Arabidopsis thaliana: one gene and its partners. The protein of the gene in region 2 interacts with the protein of the main gene of each other region in a biochemical or structural test. Each region holds a gene or a part of one and is shown on either strand. Other genes may lie near its edges.

The links.
Region 1: the proteins of SNRK2.2 (region 2) and ABI2 form a complex in vitro, tested with the Arabidopsis thaliana proteins (2 studies listed by BioGRID, with this or other methods).
Region 3: the proteins of SNRK2.2 (region 2) and ABI1 form a complex in vitro, tested with the Arabidopsis thaliana proteins (one study listed by BioGRID).
Region 4: the proteins of SNRK2.2 (region 2) and HAB1 form a complex in vitro, tested with the Arabidopsis thaliana proteins (2 studies listed by BioGRID, with this or other methods).

The regions. Positions count from the first base shown.
Region 1 is NC_003076.8:23,085,387-23,090,748, forward strand, and holds ABI2 (Protein phosphatase 2C family protein), read left to right. Parts: upstream 1-1,735; 5' UTR 1,736-2,333; coding exon 2,334-2,846; intron 2,847-2,928; coding exon 2,929-3,225; intron 3,226-3,371; coding exon 3,372-3,477; coding exon of another isoform or gene 3,478-3,500; exon of another isoform or gene 3,501-3,561; coding exon 3,562-3,917; 3' UTR 3,918-4,242; downstream 4,243-5,362. UniProt on the Arabidopsis thaliana protein: Repressor of the abscisic acid (ABA) signaling pathway that regulates numerous ABA responses, such as stomatal closure, osmotic water permeability of the plasma membrane (Pos), high light stress, response to glucose, seed germination and inhibition of vegetative growth.
Region 2 is NC_003074.8:18,740,918-18,746,381, forward strand, and holds SNRK2.2 (SNF1-related protein kinase 2.2), read right to left. Parts: upstream 3,241-5,464; 5' UTR 2,988-3,240; coding exon 2,811-2,987; intron 2,581-2,810; coding exon 2,506-2,580; intron 2,407-2,505; coding exon 2,305-2,406; intron 2,229-2,304; coding exon 2,175-2,228; intron 2,080-2,174; coding exon 1,966-2,079; intron 1,778-1,965; coding exon 1,685-1,777; intron 1,566-1,684; coding exon 1,461-1,565; intron 1,352-1,460; coding exon 1,253-1,351; intron 1,179-1,252; coding exon 888-1,178; 3' UTR 677-887; downstream 1-676. Other genes in the region: LBD28 (LOB domain-containing protein 28), read right to left, coding at 4,085-4,681. UniProt on the Arabidopsis thaliana protein: Together with SRK2I, key component and activator of the abscisic acid (ABA) signaling pathway that regulates numerous ABA responses, such as seed germination, Pro accumulation, root growth inhibition, dormancy and seedling growth, and, to a lesser extent, stomatal closure.
Region 3 is NC_003075.7:13,218,996-13,224,108, reverse strand, and holds ABI1 (Protein phosphatase 2C family protein), read left to right. Parts: upstream 1-1,732; 5' UTR 1,733-2,280; coding exon 2,281-2,829; intron 2,830-2,899; coding exon 2,900-3,190; intron 3,191-3,321; coding exon 3,322-3,427; intron 3,428-3,519; coding exon 3,520-3,878; 3' UTR 3,879-4,194; downstream 4,195-5,113. Other genes in the region: MEK1 (MAP kinase/ ERK kinase 1), read right to left, coding at 4,414-4,509, 4,603-4,648, 4,732-4,955, 5,064-5,113. UniProt on the Arabidopsis thaliana protein: Key component and repressor of the abscisic acid (ABA) signaling pathway that regulates numerous ABA responses, such as stomatal closure, osmotic water permeability of the plasma membrane (Pos), drought-induced resistance and rhizogenesis, response to glucose, high light stress, seed germination and inhibition of vegetative growth.
Region 4 is NC_003070.9:27,388,093-27,394,114, reverse strand, and holds HAB1 (HYPERSENSITIVE TO ABA1), read right to left. Parts: upstream 4,168-6,022; 5' UTR 3,868-4,167; intron 3,477-3,867; 5' UTR 3,118-3,476; coding exon 2,371-3,117; intron 2,260-2,370; coding exon 1,912-2,259; intron 1,828-1,911; coding exon 1,722-1,827; coding exon of another isoform or gene 1,702-1,721; exon of another isoform or gene 1,599-1,701; coding exon 1,264-1,598; 3' UTR 788-1,263; downstream 1-787. Other genes in the region: AT1G72760 (Protein kinase superfamily protein), read left to right, coding at 5,814-5,994. UniProt on the Arabidopsis thaliana protein: Key component and repressor of the abscisic acid (ABA) signaling pathway that regulates numerous ABA responses, such as stomatal closure, seed germination and inhibition of vegetative growth. Confers enhanced sensitivity to drought.

The DNA of each region.
Region 1 (5,362 bases), on a different chromosome or scaffold from region 2:
TGGGCCTAGCCCAGTCCAATAGGTGATTCACGTCTCACTATTTTTGCAGCTTCACAAAAATGGTAAGTTGGTAACTTACTATTTCGAGCGAAAATAACTCAGTAATAACTTCCAGATTCGTCAAATTTCTCTTACCTTGTAATGAAGTTTAGATGTTTTAGCTTTATGTATAAAAATTTAAGAATATGGTCTAATTTTATATAATTTTCTTATTATCATTTTGTATTTGATATCATATTGACAAAATTTAACAAATAGATATTAGTTGTACTTCTATGTGACCGCCACTTTATTCAATACTACCTTTTAAGTTTTAACAGATCCGTGTAGCAACTGATCATCTCAAAATATGTGACACATAGTATACTATACAATATGAGCTGGTTTTGTTTTTTATTTTATATCGAAAGATATTTTACTTTATCTGACAGCTGCGAGAGATCCTAAAAAAAATGAATTAACTTTAAAGAAATTGCATGCGTCTATCTATCTACGTATATCTCAAAAATAAAAATAAAATCAAGGTCACATGACTCATATCCAGTGAATAAAAAATATTCATGAAATCGTAAATAAATAAATAAAAACAGAAATTCATATATACGTTTTTAGTTATATAACTATACGATTGGTTCAGTGTATTTGTTGCCCAACCAAAGCTACTTTCACTTCACATATCATTACATGGTCCAATGATTATGGAACACGTATTATTATTTTTGTTTAAAAACAAGTAAATAAATAAAACAGACACCAAATAAAAAAGGAAACACAAAGATATTTACGGAAGTTAAAAGAGAGGTGTTGTCTATGTCAGTGCAATGAACCTCTTCGGCTCATCTTTTCCCGCCATCCCAACTAACAGATCTCTCACCGTACACGCCATCCTCTTCACCAAATCTAATGACTTTCTCTCTGTCTACGTGGCGATCATCCGGTCTGTTTTCCGACAATAATGGGACCCATTTGATTGTTATTTCGAAAATGATTTTATTTTTCTTCAATATTGTTTTTTTCTTCAATATTGTTTTGGAAGTAAAAAGAATCATCTGTTGACAACACAACACTTCTTGCCTTCTCGAGTTTGATTCTCCTCCTTTCTGTTTTTGGTATCCACCCGATTGTCATTATTTTATTTTGAACTCTAGAACCAAAAATATCAGAGCAAGCTCTCTAGTCAGTAAATTTTGTAATTATTATAGTACCTCATTTTTATTAGTAGCATTAATGTACTAGTGTGGTCAGTGTAGATGAATATATTTTCTACTAAACTAATAAAAATTGTATCATAATTTGTATATTTTTTGGTGTTTTCATCTTTTACTATAAAATATATTTTTGTGACATATGGCATGTTACACTAAACAAAAAATAAAATAAAAGAAATTTGTTTTTGTATAAAATAAGTAAATTACGTTTTTTGTCGACCAATTTTGATTAAAGCTCAAAAGAAAAGAGCAATTCCTAAGAGATATTATTTTTATGTGAAATAAGTAAATTACTCATTATGTAAAAAGTTTGGATTTATCTTAAATCTAATTTCATAACGTTTAATGCAAGATATTTTGGTAAAATAGGAAACGTATAAAACATCTGTATTCAAAACTTCTATAAAGATACCCAATAATAATGGAGGGGTGACACGATAGTAAATAGAATAAGAAATAAAATTTAATCAAGTCAAAATAAAATAAATACCCTTTGTTTTTGTTTCCACAATTCCTTAAGTCTTTCTAATTACTTTGTTGTTCACTAAAACATCTCACATTGTGCTATTTTTTTTAATAAATAAAGACCTCTCTCTTTAAAACTGATTATCCCCTAAACTATTTGTTTGTGAGAAAGAAAGAGAAAAAAAAGTTTTTTTGGTTGGAAATTAATTGAGGGAGAGAGAGAGTTCAGAATCTCTAAATGGCTGAAACGAATTGCCCAGAATCCAGGAAACTCTGATTTTAGTCCTTTTTTCCTCGGGAAAACGTTTGCTTTTTCTTTTTTGTGTGTGTTTGGTTCTTTAATTGACAAATCTCTCTCTATCTGTTTCATGTGCTAGCTAAGGTTGTCTTCACTTTCCTCTAATGAGTCATGAGTTTCTTGTCTTCATCTTCATCTAATAAAGTTAACAACACTCTCATCAATTTTTATTATGTTCAAATCTGTCTGACTTTTCGTTCTTTTCTCTTACACCCAAGCGTTTTAACAATCTAACATCTGTCTCTTTGAATACTTAGATATCCAACTTCAATTTCTCTCCTTTCTCTTCCCAACTTTGATTCCTGATTTGGGTTTTTGTTAAAGTTCAAGAAAGTTCTTTTTTCTTTTTTTTTCCTCCTTTAATGGACGAAGTTTCTCCTGCAGTCGCTGTTCCATTCAGACCATTCACTGACCCTCACGCCGGACTTAGAGGCTATTGCAACGGTGAATCTAGGGTTACTTTACCGGAAAGTTCTTGTTCTGGCGACGGAGCTATGAAAGATTCTTCCTTTGAGATCAATACAAGACAAGATTCATTGACATCATCATCATCTGCTATGGCAGGTGTGGATATCTCCGCCGGAGATGAAATCAACGGTTCAGATGAGTTTGATCCGAGATCGATGAATCAGAGTGAGAAGAAAGTACTTAGTAGAACAGAGAGTAGAAGTCTGTTTGAGTTCAAGTGTGTTCCTTTATATGGAGTGACTTCGATTTGTGGTAGACGACCAGAGATGGAAGATTCTGTCTCAACGATTCCTAGATTCCTTCAAGTTTCTTCTAGTTCGTTGCTTGATGGTCGAGTCACTAATGGATTTAATCCTCACTTGAGTGCTCATTTCTTTGGTGTTTACGATGGCCATGGCGGTTCTCAGGTAATGAATCGATTTGGTTTCGATATGATATGATCGGAAACTGCAAAAACTTGGTTTTTGACATTTGTTTTTGTGTGTTTAGGTAGCGAATTATTGTCGTGAGAGGATGCATCTGGCTTTGACGGAGGAGATAGTGAAGGAGAAACCGGAGTTTTGTGACGGTGACACGTGGCAAGAGAAGTGGAAGAAGGCTTTGTTCAACTCTTTTATGAGAGTTGACTCGGAGATTGAAACTGTGGCTCATGCTCCGGAAACTGTTGGGTCTACCTCGGTGGTTGCGGTTGTCTTTCCGACTCACATCTTTGTCGCGAATTGCGGCGACTCTAGGGCGGTTTTGTGTCGCGGCAAAACGCCACTCGCGTTGTCGGTTGATCACAAAGTAAGTATAGATGTTTCTATGAATGAATTAGTACAATCATATATTCATTAGGACTTGCGGTTTTTTGTTATGGTGTTACCAATCATAGCATGTTTCTATAGATTAGTTAATGTACTTATAGCGTTTGGGTCTACATTTATGTGTAGCCGGATAGGGATGATGAAGCGGCGAGGATAGAAGCTGCCGGTGGGAAAGTAATCCGGTGGAACGGGGCTCGTGTATTTGGTGTTCTCGCAATGTCAAGATCCATTGGTAATTATTTAACTTTCTCTTGATAATGATCCATGAATTTGGTTCTTTTAGTTGTTTCCTTACATTACAACCCGTCGCGAACAGGCGATAGATACCTTAAACCGTCAGTAATTCCGGATCCAGAAGTGACTTCAGTGCGGCGAGTAAAAGAAGATGATTGTCTCATCTTAGCAAGTGATGGTCTTTGGGATGTAATGACAAACGAAGAAGTGTGCGATTTGGCTCGGAAACGGATTTTACTATGGCATAAGAAGAACGCGATGGCCGGAGAGGCTTTGCTTCCGGCGGAGAAAAGAGGAGAAGGAAAAGATCCTGCAGCAATGTCCGCGGCAGAGTATTTGTCGAAGATGGCTTTGCAAAAAGGAAGCAAAGACAATATAAGTGTGGTAGTGGTTGATTTGAAGGGAATAAGGAAATTCAAGAGCAAATCCTTGAATTGAAAAAGAAGGTTTGGAAGAAAAGTGAAAAAAAAAGTTTTGATGGTGGGTAAAAATTCTCTTTAGTGAAAAAAGAAAGATAAAACAACAGGTAATAATTACATTGTAATATTAATTTCCTGCTTAAATTTGTTATTTACTTTCTTAGTCTTCCCACCATTATTTAATCTTTTTATATTTATTTTACTAACATGATATATATAATGTACATGGGAATAGTGTAACTTCCAAACAAAAAGCCCCCTTGTATTTTTTTTTATCTTGGGGTTAGTTGTAATAACACTACATTCGTCTACGTAAATATTTAGTGTTATTATTTGATGTTTCATAACTTCTCTTTGTGTGTGTGTTTTCGTTAGAGTGATATAGTTTCAATAGTATTGACATCATTTTTTCATTACCAAAAATTACATTAGTCTTCATCACCATAATTTTTTCATTTTGTTTAAATCTACTAAACCAACCAGAATATGGGATGGTTGAATAAACGTCACAATAATTTGTAAATCCATGTGAATGTTTAGATTGTAGGTGATTGAAGACAAAATAATACATACTTATATCACAAGTTAATTGTAAAGTGGTGTGTAAGGCAGCTTTTATCCCCAAGAAAAATCATCTTTTTATCACATCAACATTATTCAACAATTACACAAAAAGGTAAATATCATATTTAAATGTGAAAGAATATAAATAAAATTAGTCTTGTGAAAAATTTAATCTCTTCGAATAACATTGTTTTATTATTCTTATTTCATAAAAAAGGAAAGAAGTAAGCGTTGGTTAGTAAAAGAGTGTTTTTTACTTTCTCAAGAGTTTCAATTTCTTCTTCTTCAGCTTTATACGCATTTAAAGCGCCGACGAAGTTGAACACTGAAGAAGAAAAAGAGGAGACGACACGATTTTTGTCTGAATTATCAGATTCAGATTTCGTTTAATCGCCAGATTCATTTCGAAAAATCTTGCACTAGATTCTCTTATCTTCGGTGAGCTCTCTCTGCGATCTTTGTTTTTTTTTCCGAGCAATTTCCGGTATTTAATGAAACGATGGATCGACGAATTGATTTATTTGTAAAGCTAATCCTGTAGACAACTGAGCTCAAAACATTCAATTTTTGTTAAAGAGACGAGTCGTATCTCGAGTTTGAAGTTTTCGCGGTTGCTGATTGATTTGATGGGGATTTGAAATTTATAGTGTGAGTTTTGGTTAGTTGCTGCTAGGGTTTTCGAATCACACTTTGTATTGTTGGTCTTGTGTTGATTGAAATGTATCTCTAGTCTTTGATTACTGCTTGTGAAATTCTGATGTTTTTATTATGATTGCAGGGAAATTGAAGATCTGGGTCATAAGCAATAGCTTAAAGCATGGACGAAAGTAATTATCTCTCTTGACTCTTCAACTATGAGCTTTGAGGTTAATTTTACTAGAATATTGAGTCACAGAGTTC
Region 2 (5,464 bases):
ATGTTTCTTACTGCACGAAAAAGGTAAATTGTTATTCTTATCCTATGCAAATTTAACATGTTCTAATTTTAAATCAGAAAAATCCTCTAAAAGTTTAACTATTAGTTACATTTCTTTGTTCTCCTTATTTTAACTTTTCGAATCATATTAACATAGTTTTTGTAACATAAATATCTTCTCTTTAGCTTTTTTTTTACAGAAGAAGATTTTTGTCATGTGTCAAAAGTTGATCATGAATTGGAGAGAAGTAGTAATGATTCCTTGATGAATTATCGTAATGCCAATAGTCGTTGCCAATAGTCAATAGACATTGCATTACCAAGCATTCTCCACAGAAAACATGTCTTTTACATAATCTAGGGTAGAAAATATTTATACAAATTTTTCATCCACACACAAATCTACATTATGGTATCATAAAATGCTAAATCTTTTCATCAATATAGACAGTTTAAGTTTTACTAATTGCAAATCTTAATCAAATGTCTAGCGGCATGATCAAAGCTGATGATCATAAGCCATGTCCTCCATCACGATGTCGAATAACACTATACATGAAATCGTGTGTCGTGTGAAACATAGATCATAACATTCTTAACCAAGACTCAAGCTAAGCTCCATCTCAGAACCTTGTGGGTTAGTTACATTTCTTTTTCTAGTACCATATCATTTGTATAAAATGTGCCAATAGTTATTAAACAAAGAGAAATACATAGAATATATTACATATTACATTACAATACATATATATGTATGTGAATCCAAAGCTTGTAGAGTAAAAAACAACAAACGATCCAAAAATGAACGATGGAGTGCGTGGAGCTAAGACAAAACTCCAGTGGTGTGTCTCAACAGTACGGACAAAACAGACTTTGTCCTCAGGAATCTCAGAGAGCATAAACTATCTCTCCACTACTGTCAACATCAATCTCAGATTCGGAATCAAAGTCATCCATGTCATCGTCTAGATCAAGATTATCCGCCATGAAATCATCGAGGCAACGATTACGAACAGTCGGAATCGTAGCCTCCGATATTATCTGCATAATCGTGTCAAGGCTCTGCATTGGCTGCTCAGGCTCTTGAAACTGACTTCCCATTCGGTTCTCATCCATCAAATCACCTGGTAGATTCTTCAAGAACCATTTATCGGATGTGATCTCCGGAATAGTGATTCTCTGCCACATTGGATCTCTCAGTTTGTCTATTTAGAACTCAAAGAACAAAGTTTTCTTTGAAATGTAAAACTTACTGTTGCCGGATCAGCCACGAAGATCCTCGATATTAGATGGCGACATTCTGGTGAGAGGTGTAAGTCCTCTGGGATCGAGTATGTGACACTAAGGATTCTCTGCGTTTTAAAATCAGTGGAGAAGCAAACATATACAATCAACGTTTGAAAGATAATGAGTTTGTGAATGATGATGAATGAGACAGCAAGAACAATTGAAAAACATTACTTGTATTGTCTTTCGATAATCTCGTGGCTCCTGTGGATCCTCGAATGGATAAGCTCCAACCAACATTACATATAATGTTACACCGCAAGACCATACATCTGCAAGCTGGAAAAATGTAACACCAGCTATTTCAGAGGACAACTCAAAGAATATTTGTGGTATAAACAGTCATATGGATAAGCTGGTTTGAACTCTAGACAGAGGAATTGGTCTCATGGCCTTACCTTGCCATCATATTCCTGTCGAAGAAGAATCTCTGGTGCAATGTATGCAGGAGTACCAACAGTTGACTTTGGTTGGGAATGAAGAACAGAAGACTGAAGAAAAGAAACGCATAGTTAATACTTGAGCAGAAATCAAAGCGAAAACAGACACTTAGTAGGAAACACATGTAGGTAAAGAGCATGAACGATAAGAAGCACAACGAGGAATCACAAGATGTCCCCCGCTGTTCTGCGCTTGGCCATACAGTAGCATATATAAACTTAGAATTCAGAAAACAAACCTTGAGAGAAATAAATAGTACCTTGGAATAACCAAAATCACATATTTTCAAACGAGGTGCCGGACTTCCATCTAACAATGTATTTTCCAGCTTCAGATCCCGATGGCATATTTGCTTCACAGGAAAATCAAACACAGAATTAAAACCAGAGTGGTATACACGAGAACGAGAAAAGTTCAAGTAAGTTGCAAGAACACTGCTCTGCGTACCATTGCATGACAATAGCTAACTCCAGATATAAGCTGCTGAAAGAAGAACCGAGCCTATACATAAAAAAACTTAAAGATCAGTAGTCACACATCAATACCACAACACAGTACGATAAATCAGAATCCAAACCTCATCTTCACTAAACCGTCCGGCATTACAAATCCGCTCATAAAGTTCTCCACCAGCAGCATATTCCATAACAATAGCCAAATGGGAAGGCGTCAAAATCACCTAAACCATTACAAAAACACACACAAAACAAACTCTAAACCACACTGACTTAATACACAAACACACACAGAAGAAACATCAAGGTGTATTATATTATACCTCTTTAAACCTAACAATATTAGGATGTCTCAATGATCTATGATTGATAATCTCCCTCTGAACATTTTCATCAATCTGCAAAACAACCATAAAAAAAAGTATCATCATTTATTGAGAAATATCAAAACTTTTCAAAAGCATTTAATCATAGTAACAGTAAGTAACCACCATTAAAGACACTAGATCAACAAGCTCTAAAAAGGAAAGCTACTAAATCTGGAAACTAAAAATAATCGATCATCAATCAATCACTAAAGCCTATAAATATCAAATCTTTTTTTCATTCAAAAAAAAAAAGACGAAACCTTTTCTCCTCTCTCGATGTATTTAACAGCAACAAGCTCCTTGGTGACTCTATCGGTCATGAGACGAGCAACGCCGAAATTACCAGAGCCAATATCTTTAACGAAGTCGTAACGATCACTGTCGTGCATAATCGGTAAATCAATCGGCATAATCGGTGAATTAGTCGCCGGATCCATTTTTTCTGATTCTTCTCTTCCTCTATTGCTCTTCCTAATCACATCAGATTAAGTCGAAGAATCTTCTGGAGTAGCTGGAATCTAGAAGAAGAAGAAGGAGAAAAATATCTAAGGAAGGATATGAATTTGGGGGAAAAAGATGGATCAACGACGAATGAGAAAGACAAAGGCAATTATTGGTCGCTCTCTAAGTTAGATAAGAGGAGAGAGATGTTTGCAACGACACCGTTTTCTTTGTTTTAGTTATCTGATTTGATACGACAAAGGCCGCCGCGTTTTGGTGATTTTTTTTTTTTTTTTTTCAAATATTTTTTTTTTTGGTTTTTTTAGGTATCAATATTAATTTTACTGTTCTATATTATCAACACAATTTGGTTGCTCCTAAAATTTGTAATTGAATGAGTACGAATTGTGAGGTGAGTAAATTGTTATGTCTTTCTTAAATTAATTATGTGAATGTCTCATGTATATATGTATTGTTTTACCTTCACTTGTACTTGTTTACTTCCAAAATATCCCAACTTTATGTGGGTGATTGTGGTCGTATTTTGAGCCAAGTCAGAAATTGTTTTTGTCACGAACAAAAAAAAGCTTCTTATAGATCATATAAGACGTTTTCACGTACACAGCAATGTTACATTAACCTTTTTCTAATTTTATAACTCTTGTCTAGTCGTTTGTACATAACTACAAGTGCACCTTTATTATTTTGTTATGGCAGAGTGTAGTTCTACACAAGGTCCTTGTTGAATGTTGGAGTATTTGTAAAAGAAATAATCAAATTGACTAAGGATCCTGATTAGAAATGTTAAGGTTTACGGCTTGAACTGCCGCTGAGTTTATTAACGTAAAGATAGTGATGAGGCAAAAAGTACTTTTTCGAATCTTAAAAACCAAAAAAAGCTCCGTTACCGGGAATCGAACCCGGGTCTCCTGGGTGAAAGCCAGATATCCTAACCGCTGGACGATAACGGATGTTTTGTTAACTAAAAACAATAATTGTATTTATATCTTAATGTAGTTATACAAACGACTAGACAAGACTTAAAAAGATTTTAAAAGCTTACCATTGTTATCAAGATTCAATATGATAATGATTAATGTAGGTTAAAGCATGGTCCAAATTTTTGATAAGAACTTTTGTCACGGTAACTCTCCTCATCGTGCTGCATCTGCGTCTCTTGCATTTGAGCGCTTTGTGTGGATGCAAAACGTTGAGCCTCGTTATACAACTGTTGACCCGTTAAACAACCACCGTTATTAGGTGTGTGTTCCGGTATCATCATAGGATTGTTATGCATTTCCAGATTCGTCATCGAAGGTGGTGGCACAAATGTGGGGACGATACAGTAAGAGGCAAGTTCGTTCTTGACGATCGCGAGTTGTTCTTCCAAGTCTTTAATCTGACTAAGGAGGTTGTAAATGATACCCAGACAGCCATTGACCGGATCATTGGCTTGAACTTGTGCCTCCCAAGCGAGCGTGTCCATGGCAAATTCTCTTTGGCATGGGTGAAGACTGTTGATAAGTGTAGCCACATGGCTTGCTCCAAATACCTTGTGAACCGCTTCGTAGTTGTCCAGTTTAGTCGAGGGGAAGTAAGGCGCAAACACACAATCTTCTGTGCATTTTCTCCTCAGGTGCTTGCATGCCGCGCATGGTGTCGATATTTTGTCCATTTGATGAAACATCATAATCTGTGAAAGAAAGAAAGAAAATGTAATTGTACATTTTTGATCATTTCTAGAATATATACAAAATACATTTAAATATAGGATATATCGAAATACATGATGTAATTTTTTCCTTTTAAACTGAATCAAACAAACATATTTACAGAATCTTTTTCTTAAACACGAAAATCCGAAACATGAAAAAAACAAAAACAAAAGGGAAAATCGTATGCCTAGGTCTATACACGAACTGAAAAAAAAAAATCACAACCTACGAATTTTTATGTGAATTCTAAACAGTAAAGAGATTAAGGTTTCTAAATAATATAGTAATCAGAATAGCCAATCAAAATCGTGGATTGCGTTGTACTGCACTCAAATATGTTAGAGAAGGTGTGAAGATGAAAACACAAACCTCAATGCATAATAAGAAGATGAATCTAATCAAGCGAATATCACCTGATTTCTAAACCCTATATATTAATAGAGATAAAGAATGGATATAAAATGAAATCAAATCGGTATTTATATGAAAATAAAAAAGGAAGATGAATAGAGAGATTCAGTTTTTAACCTAAACACAATGCTTCTTCAAATTCTATTCCCTACTTGTAAAATGCGTTTTGAGAAAGAACCTAAAATTGATCAACACAGATTTAGGTCAAAATTTCCTACCACGCAATTTTACTTATATAGTACCAAAAAATATTCAGGTTAGTTAATATTTTTGAAAAACAAAATCTAGATAAAACTGAATTCATGATTATCCAAAAACAAAAAATATATATATTAGCTTCCAAAAAA
Region 3 (5,113 bases), on a different chromosome or scaffold from region 2:
TGCCCGCAATCGCAAGGAAAGCTAACAAATTCAATTAATCACACATTAAACAAAATAAATTACTAGTGTTCATATTTGTCTCGGCTTTCTTCTCAGTTTATCTAAAAGAAATAGCTTTCAATAAAAAATCAATGTTTTTTCTACTTTTGTAATAATTTGTAAAAAAAAAACGGTAGATGATTGGTACATTGTATTTGAGGTGTCTTGGGTATTTTGTCTCTTGCCCATCATCCAAAGCCCACTTTCACACATCTCCCATATGAATAACATATCATTACACATTGTCCAAAGAAAACCGCACAAGTGGCATCAAACATATGGAACATGAATAAATACTTCTTTTTTATCTATCTGTTGACGAATAAATATTTATTGAGATATTAGAGAAAATAGAATAATAATGAGGAGAGGAAAAAAGAGAGTTTAAAGACAAGATATTTACGGAATTTAATGGGACGAAAGAAAAATAATATAAAAGGGGGACCTGTCTTTGTCAGTGCAATGAACCTTTTTTTCTTTCGATCAAATCTCTCCCGCCACCCAACTAACACATCTTAAACCGTACACGTCACCCTCTCTCCTTCCCATTTTCTTCGTCTACGTGTCGACCATCCACCGGTTTTTGTTTTCTGCTAAACGTGGGACCTATTCACATTTTTATTTTATTTTAAAAAATTGGACGGATTCTTTCATGTTCTTTGGGTCGTTGCATAATTATGTCCATGAGTCTATCCATCAAAATACCTTCGGAATCATCTTTTTATTTTATATATATACTGCGACAACAATAATTTTATGTTTTGTACTGTCTTTTCTGGTCAATAAAAAAAACTAAAAATTTGGTCGAATTTAATGGACTTCCATGACCAACTCTTCATTTCCCTTAAGGATAAATTGAGAAGAAAATTATATACTGGAATTTGAAAAAGCTTTATATAATTGTAACGTATTTTTATAATTGCACGACAAATCTCTTTTCTTGATTTTTTGTATGAAACTACAAAGACCAATTTTTCTAACAACTAAGATTCAGTTATTATTTTTGGTCACATAAATAAATGAGACGATAACTTCATAATGGTTTTGGTTTTGAGTTTGACCAAAAATGGTTTTCAAGATAAATAATTAGATGAATAATGAAACGTACCCCTTAAATAACAATTATTTAGATATTTTACCGGTGGTCTTTCATTTTTCCCGAATATAAAACATTGAATTCTTATCTAAAGGACAAAGTATTGTTCTTATTCTGAAAATGACACAAATTTAAAATTTTTATTTAAATCTATGAATATCTAAATGGTATATTATGTTTGGTGTTTTTTAGTCCAATGATTAGGAATTACGAATAATGTTTTCGTAATTCAAACTCTATTTATTTAGATTGAAAACTATATGACAAATAAAATAATTGCAAAACAATACAAGATTTAACTCGGACTACGACACGTCATTTAATGAAAGTCATCTTTATGAAAATATAAAATCCATTAAACTGATGACCTAACTAAAGTTAAAAGCAAACATATTTTATTTTGTTTGACAAACAAAAAAGAAATATATTTCTCCCAAAGAAAAAAAAAACCAAAAAACTTTATGTTTGTTAAAAAAATAAGAAATGATAAAAGCATTTTTTTTAAAAAAAATGTTGAATATAGGAAGTCTGAAGCAAGTGTCTTTTTATGAATTAAATAGTTTAAAATTTCAAGAACGAAACATCTCCCCTTATTACAAAAAATAAATAAGCCAAAAAAAGTATCACTTTAATAATGTAATAAAATAAAGTGATATGTATATAAGTATACATACATAAATAGTAGATTCGAAGCAATTGTTGCATTAGCCTACCCATTTCCTCCTTCTTTCTCTCTTCTATCTGTGAACAAGGCACATTAGAACTCTTCTTTTCAACTTTTTTAGGTGTATATAGATGAATCTAGAAATAGTTTTATAGTTGGAAATTAATTGAAGAGAGAGAGATATTACTACACCAATCTTTTCAAGAGGTCCTAACGAATTACCCACAATCCAGGAAACCCTTATTGAAATTCAATTCATTTCTTTCTTTCTGTGTTTGTGATTTTCCCGGGAAATATTTTTGGGTATATGTCTCTCTGTTTTTGCTTTCCTTTTTCATAGGAGTCATGTGTTTCTTCTTGTCTTCCTAGCTTCTTCTAATAAAGTCCTTCTCTTGTGAAAATCTCTCGAATTTTCATTTTTGTTCCATTGGAGCTATCTTATAGATCACAACCAGAGAAAAAGATCAAATCTTTACCGTTAATGGAGGAAGTATCTCCGGCGATCGCAGGTCCTTTCAGGCCATTCTCCGAAACCCAGATGGATTTCACCGGGATCAGATTGGGTAAAGGTTACTGCAATAACCAATACTCAAATCAAGATTCCGAGAACGGAGATCTAATGGTTTCGTTACCGGAGACTTCATCATGCTCTGTTTCTGGGTCACATGGTTCTGAATCTAGGAAAGTTTTGATTTCTCGGATCAATTCTCCTAATTTAAACATGAAGGAATCAGCAGCTGCTGATATAGTCGTCGTTGATATCTCCGCCGGAGATGAGATCAACGGCTCAGATATTACTAGCGAGAAGAAGATGATCAGCAGAACAGAGAGTAGGAGTTTGTTTGAATTCAAGAGTGTGCCTTTGTATGGTTTTACTTCGATTTGTGGAAGAAGACCTGAGATGGAAGATGCTGTTTCGACTATACCAAGATTCCTTCAATCTTCCTCTGGTTCGATGTTAGATGGTCGGTTTGATCCTCAATCCGCCGCTCATTTCTTCGGTGTTTACGACGGCCATGGCGGTTCTCAGGTAAAAGATTGGATCTTTTGATTAGGGTTGTTTACAGTTTGCAGAATCTGATTTGGTTGTTGTTGTGTAGGTAGCGAACTATTGTAGAGAGAGGATGCATTTGGCTTTGGCGGAGGAGATAGCTAAGGAGAAACCGATGCTCTGCGATGGTGATACGTGGCTGGAGAAGTGGAAGAAAGCTCTTTTCAACTCGTTCCTGAGAGTTGACTCGGAGATTGAGTCAGTTGCGCCGGAGACGGTTGGGTCAACGTCGGTGGTTGCCGTTGTTTTCCCGTCTCACATCTTCGTCGCTAACTGCGGTGACTCTAGAGCCGTTCTTTGCCGCGGCAAAACTGCACTTCCATTATCCGTTGACCATAAAGTAAGCATATATAGACTCAAGATCTATAGTTGGATTGGTTGTGAACTTGTGATAGGTTTTTAGTTTTCAAGATGTTGAGTTAGAGAGGTTTATGAAACCATTTCTGATGTGTGCTTGTGTTATGTGTGTAGCCGGATAGAGAAGATGAAGCTGCGAGGATTGAAGCCGCAGGAGGGAAAGTGATTCAGTGGAATGGAGCTCGTGTTTTCGGTGTTCTCGCCATGTCGAGATCCATTGGTAAGCTTTCATTATATTTCTCCATAAAGCTTCTCAATGGTTCTTGAAATAGAAGAAACCTTTCTTCTTACAAACATTTATCATTGTGACAGGCGATAGATACTTGAAACCATCCATCATTCCTGATCCGGAAGTGACGGCTGTGAAGAGAGTAAAAGAAGATGATTGTCTGATTTTGGCGAGTGACGGGGTTTGGGATGTAATGACGGATGAAGAAGCGTGTGAGATGGCAAGGAAGCGGATTCTCTTGTGGCACAAGAAAAACGCGGTGGCTGGGGATGCATCGTTGCTCGCGGATGAGCGGAGAAAGGAAGGGAAAGATCCTGCGGCGATGTCCGCGGCTGAGTATTTGTCAAAGCTGGCGATACAGAGAGGAAGCAAAGACAACATAAGTGTGGTGGTGGTTGATTTGAAGCCTCGGAGGAAACTCAAGAGCAAACCCTTGAACTGAGGCAGAGAGGGTCCTTTTTCTTAATTTTTAAAATGAATATGGGTCTCTCCAAGAAAAAGTATTTACTATTATTAATTTGTGCTTATTTTTTTAACTAACAAGTTATAACCATATGGAGATAATGAAGCTTAATGTGTTAAGCTCTTTTGTCTTGACTACATTCTAAAAAGCCCCTTGTATTTTTCTTCCCGGGCTAATTGTAATATGGTTACAACATACATTAAGATGTAGTATTATTGTTTATGCAATTACTTTCAAAACTTTACATACGAAAATAGAAAGATACTTAAACTATGTACAAAACAAAATGTGTATAATGATATGAACTACTATATAAGTATATCCACCACTAGCAGAGAAACATAACTGATGATAGTTGTGTTTATAATAGTGATGTGAAAAGTACACACATTAAATCAAATTTTGTAGACAAGTCTCTTAAGTCATAACATCTCGTAAATTTATCTTTCATAAAATCTCTTCTAGTGGATATGAAATAATAACTTGGAGGTTAAAAGATTGTTCAAACTCGGTTCTAGTTAGCAAGTGGGGGAATCAAAGATCCTGCGTCGGTGAAGTAAGCCGAGAGATTTGTATCCGAATCTTCAAACATCTTTACGAACTTGTGTTCCTATTCACCAAGATGGAACCAGAAAAAAGATCGTTAAAAGTAGTCCAAGACAGTACAAGGTGAAAGACTCAGAGTCTTATATGATTAACGCACCAGAAGCTCCTTTGCTGATTTTCTGTCCCTTGGATCTTTTTGTACACTACACAAGTTAAAGCACCATTTCAAATGCCTACTCGTTATAGCAACAAAAATGACATGACAACTGGTCGAAATCTGTCTCACCATTGCGAGATGAAGGAGCAAAACTCTGGAGAAAAGAGATTGGAAGGTGCACAAGGAGGCGGGTTTTCAACAATGGCGTCCACAAGCTCGTACACGCTACTCCATCCTTTCTTGTGTTCTGGAGGAGTATACGGGAATTTACCCGTTGCACATTCGAGCAAAACCAGTCCCAAGCTCCAAATATCGCTCTTGTTACTGTACAAACTCCCGCTGATTCTCTCTGGCTGCAAAACATGATAACAACACCAGTAAGTCGTATAAAACCACTTGTAACTCTGAAAATTGAGTTTGTATGTATATTGAGTGTTGAGAGGTGAATGGAGGAGACTCACAGACATATAAGGGTATGTGCCCACGAAAGAATTAGCAAGACTACTTGTGC
Region 4 (6,022 bases), on a different chromosome or scaffold from region 2:
GGTCATACGGTCATGCCTAAGAGAAGGTTCAATTGACACATGATTTTTTTGGGGGAATTTTTTATTTTTATTTTAATAACTTGTTAGACAAGCTGGAAAATGGTGGTATTTGCTTGTGAAAGTTGGAAATGGGAAATACAAAGAAAGGCCTACTAATACAGCTGGATTACATGAAGCAAATACAGATTGGTACGTCAAATAATCAAAATTGTTCAACGGAATCATATGTCTAACGTGTTAATAAACACGTTTTCTATGTGAAGCTGAGGCCGTGATTACTAATTAGTCTTTTAATAATTATATGAGAGCCGGTGTTGTCGTGGCTTTTACAAATGGCCAGGCCAAACCGTCAAAGGCAACATACTATAATCTAATCAAGTCTTGTTATCTTGATAACTTATCTAAAAACGATAAACTTTCTCTCACAAGCTAGATTTTATGTGGTGCCAATGATTAACAGCTTTCTAAGTTTGATTTAAATACACTTACGGTTTCACACGTCACTTCCACATTTGTAGGTATGAGGTTGATTTCTATTTCTACTCAATTTAAGAAAAGAAATATTAACATTTCGTAAAGACTCTAAAATGTTAGATGATTAAGGTAAGTTATGGAAAATGTGATGATAACAGAAAAAAAAATGAAAAACGTGAACGGCAGGATTCGAACCTGCGCGGGCAAAGCCCACATGATTTCTAGTCATGCCCGATAACCACTCCGGCACGTCCACCTTTTGCTAAGTGTATTGCTTTATCAATACTTAACATCAAAATAAAAATCGACCTGTGGTTAAACCCCCAATAAACTCTCATCTCACCGTTAAGTTATAGAACAGCGAAGAACACAACATGAAAAGACAAATGCAAGAAGGTTAATGTGACATAGTTTCAATTACAATTTCATTTGCCACATCTCTCAAACTATTACAACATATTCAACTATTTCAATACCCCAAAAAAAAAAAGCATTTCTCTGCCTATTTCTTCTTATACATACGAATTCAAGTACCATGAGAAAAAAAGGAATGTACTTATAATTAGCTATGCATCATCTTCTTAATCTTCAGTCTTTAGTCTTTACTTCTCCTCCCCAACCCGCATTTCCATTTTTTTTCTTTATTTTTTCTCCCTTCTAACAATATTGAGTAATTAACATGTAAAAACCTGTCGAAATTAGATCCTTAACGATCTAAATTATACGAAAACTCGAAACTTACCCCCAGTAAAAAAAAAAGTAAGTAAGCGTACTGCTTGTAATTAAGCTTCAGGTTCTGGTCTTGAACTTTCTTTGAGCTTTCAAGTCAATCACAATGATGGAGATGTTGTCTTTACTTCCTTTTTGTAGAGCAAGCATTGAGAGGTAGTCAGCTGCGGCTTGGCAAGCTGGATCTATTCCTTTGCCTCTCTCTGCTAGAGGCGGTGCACCGTTCTTCTTGTGCCACATCAATATCCGTCTCCTTGCTATTTCGCAGACTTCTTGGTTGTTCATTACATCCCAAAGACCGTCACTGGCTAGTATGAGACACTCGTCTTCTCTTGACCGAGGCATGAATGTCACTTCCGGTTCTGGGATCACATATGGCTTCAGATATCTGTCACCTGCATAGTTCCAGAGGAGGAAAGAAACCGGAGGATCTAATGTTTCATGTAGGGGAGTAATTACATTATCAAGCCACGTTTGTGTGATGTGCATTACTGGTCATCAAAAGAAGCAATGCTTACCGATGGACCTAGACATGGCGAGAACACCAAAAACACGTGCGCCTTGCCATTGTATAACTTTGCCTCCAGCATTTTCTATTCTTGCATATTCATCCTCTCTATCTGGCTGCAGAAAAATGGAAGGAGGTAAGAAAACACTTTTATCAACTTTGTAAGTTAGATTGGGGAAAGAAAAGGAAGTTCATTTTACTTTGTGATCAACTGACAAGGGCATGGCTTCTTTGCCACGGAATAAAACCGCCCTCGAATCACCGCAGTTAGAAACTACTATATGTGATGAGCAAACCAAGGCAACAACAGCAGTTGATCCTACGGTCTCAGACGCAACAGCCTCAAGAACCTTATCAGAAGAACCAACAACGGCTCTACCAATTTTTCCTTCAATCTCACCATCGACAGTTAGAAAACAACTCGTGAAGACTTTATCCCACTGCACCTGCCTACCCTCTCCTGTATTCCTCTTGCATAATTCGTCTTTTATACGTTCTATTTCTTCAGCCAAAGCAAAATGGAGTCTATCTCGGCAATAGTCAGCAACCTACAAGCCATTGTAGATTTAAAATCTATGAATTTAACCAGAACATCTCAAAGAGGTGTATAACAATCTACATTGCTAAAACAACTTACATAAAATGTGAATATAGCATACCTTATGGCCTCCATGACCATCATAAACACCGAAAAAATGACCGGTGAGGTGTGTGAGGCTTGGACTCATACCCTCATGGTCCCCCATAAGCATTTTGATGGGTAGTTTCAGAAAATGAGGTGACACGGCAAAAGCATCCTCCATCTCAGATCTATTCCCTTGAATGGAAACCGTGCCCCAAAGCGGTATACAATCTAGTTCATAAACACTTCTCCCTTTCACCAGATGATTACTATTTTCATCTGGCAATCTAATGACAACCTCCGAAGTATTGGTATCCTGATTTACACCCGCGATAAGAACTTCCGCGGTGGGAACCTGCTCAATGCTTGATTCGCCTACGATAATCGCGGTTGCAAGAACTCGCCCGTTATCTATTTCCATAGCTGTATTAGACAAGCTTAATTCAGAGCCTGCATCAACAACTAACAAGCCCTCACTTATGACAGCACTATTATCCTCCACAACAGACAATACATCGTCTTCATCAAAAACATTGGAAGACCCGCTTCTCGTATCGGATAAAGTTTTCAACAAATCCTGTTCACCTACCTCTTCCAGTTCAGAAACATCTTCCATAGTGCATTCAGTCCCTCCGTTGCAAAAGCTTTGATTTTCAGAATCAGATAACAAGTCAGCTGCATCAGTAACGTTCTTTAGCTGAGTGATCTCGACAGGTGATGATTCACACATGGTGTTGGCTGCTAAGCTAAGAGTCATTGCAACTGCGGGAGTCATCTCCTCCATGAGCTCTCCAAAATCAGAGATTTCCACACCACACCACAACAAAGCTTTAAATTTCAAAGATGGACTTAGGAGAAATCAATTGTTTTCATCTTCTTCTTCGAATACTCTAAGCAATGGTTTCATGATGTTGAAGAATCCTTGCTCCAAATAAGTTTTTGTCAGCGACCCAAATGCCGCTTTATTCATACACTAACTTAGCATAGTTAAAACGACGAATCAAGGAGAATTAAGTACCGGAGATAACCAGATCTGACGAATCTATACGACGAATTCTCCTCACTCGATTATATCACTCTCTTGATCCCAAAATCGCAACAACTTCGTCGATCTTTTCTCAAATCCTTATCTTGATTTCAACCCTATTGAGAGATCACAAAGCACTAATCAAAAACTCACGAATCATTATCCAAACGGTCATGTCAAAGAAAATTCACACAAAAACCAGAAAAAGGAGGGAAAATCAGCGAAATCAATCACAAGAAAGCCCTAAAAAATTCGAACCATTAACGTCCATAATCATATAGTAGAACATGGGTTTCCTTGGATCTAAATTAAAAAAGAAGCTTTAGCTTTACCCAGAAATAGAAAGATGAATTTAAACTTTGTTCTTAAGCAAAACTAAACACAAAGCTCAAAACAACAAGAGAGATTCGACACATAATAGCAAAAATCTTCCGATTGAAAAGCTAACTACACAGAAAAACAACATAAAAAAATCAGGAAAGAAAAAAGAAGAGAGAAAGAACTAACCAGTTGATGAATCTTTAGAAGATATTCGCATCTGCAAAAAAATTAAAATCGAACAGAAGAGAGAGAGAGAACAAAAGTAAAGATGTTCTTCTTCTTCTTCTTCTTTTTATTTTCTTCCCTCAGGATTATTTCTCGCTCGAGCTAAATTGCTTAGAGAGAGGCTCTCTCTATCAGCGAAACAAAGAGAGAGAGAAGAGAATATTGTGTGGTTTGCTTTTTCTCTCTGTTTTTTTTTATTCCTTTTTTTCTTTGGTTTTGTAATATAATTTATAGGAAAAAAGAGTATTTATTACAAAAGAGGATTAATAAAAGGACACGTATTAGTCTTTGTATCATTTTGTGAACTTTGTCCTCTTTTTTTCTTCAACTTTTTGTCCTTTTTCTTTTTTTAAGGTCGCTTCAGGCAACACCTGTCGATCAGCTAACAACAACAGATGTTATTTAATTCCTTTTTTTCCCATTTATTTATTTTCAGAACCAAAAATATGTTTACAAATGGAAATTGATTTCTTTCTCTTTCCTTTTTTTAAAAAAAAAATATATCATAAAAATTTATATAAAGTAGAAAAACACTAATTATTTCCATAAAATTTTGACATGTAATATTAACCACGAAAATTAGATATAGATAAGTGAGTATCTTAGTTGTACAATCTGACGTGTAGATAAGTGAGTATCTTAGTTGTAATTTGTATTTGATATAACTGTAAAATGAATAAATTGTATTAATAGGATCAATGAAATCTTGACACGTAATATATTGGTTCAGCAAAAATTTCCCATATATTTTATTTAAACTGATCAAGTTTTAGTTTTGAAAGCTATGAGTAAGAAATAAAGATTGGTTTTATAGTTACGAACTTGTCTATAGAACTCTCTAGGTAAGAAAGAATAACACAAAATTATTGTTATCAGTAAGAATGAATCAGCCTAAAAAAATAAAAATATTTATGTATACTTTTCGATAACGTTAAAGTACAAGTTCTCACAATCAGTGTTTAATGGAATCGTCTTAAGAGTAATAATCTTTCGAGAGACGTATAAGATATGGTGATATCGCCAAGAAGAAATAAAGATGGAAGACGACAGCCCCAGAAAATTATATTATTTGGTCGTTTACCTTTTTTTCTTTGTTCTTTTTGGATACGTAAATCAAAAAATGCAACGTGTGTTTGTTTTTTTCCAAGTCAATAATCGCAATAATTTCGATTTCTACCACCCGCCCACGTGGCTACTCTGATTGATCAGGGACGAAAATAATAAATATTTTGTTACACCTCTAGATTTTGTACTCATAAATTTCAAATTCGTAGATACATATATTGCTGTTGCATTATTATCGAAACTCAAATTAAGTAAATGTGTGTAAATTGAGATGTGTGATCATGTTTAAACATAACATTCTATTCTCTAGTCTATTTTACTCTCTTTTTTGGTTCAACCTCTAGTCTATATAAACCTAAAAGACTAAACCATATGTTTGACTAGTTTTACTAATATTTTTATCTAAAAACTTTGTTTTACTGATTAAGATAAAATAATCGATTTAATATTTTGATAATGTATAATCGAATTTTATTTTAATCGAAACGCGTACATTATAGTACAAACTAGATCTCACCAGCAACTTCCCAAAAATCACTCTCTAATTAAAGATAAGTTGAGACTTGTGGAAATTTCCATTCTTGTTTGTTTGTTTCACAAGACTGTTGAGTTGTTTGAGAAATAAACCCTCCAAAATTAGAAAAATTGTAAAACCACTAAAAGCTTCATCATCTCACAATACAATTTTCTGTTTCTTTTCATTGTTCATTGTTTCTTCTCTGAGGTTGCAAAGCCAGACAAAAGAAAAACAACACAATCGATCTTGGTTGTGGGTGTTTTGTGACAAAGAAGACATGAGATCATTTATGAGTATTATAGTTTCCTTGTGAAGCAGGTTATTCATGTTTCTTGGGAAGCAAGATTCTAACATGTCTGCAAGAAGAGTTAGAAGGACCTCGGAGGACTATGGCAGTATCACGGCGATCGCCATTGATAAGGACAAGAACAGCCAACACGCCTTGAAATGGGCCGTTGAAAATATTGTTGCTGATGCTCCACAATGTGTCCTTATCCACGTTCAACGTAAGCATCTCTCGCTCTTCTCTTCATC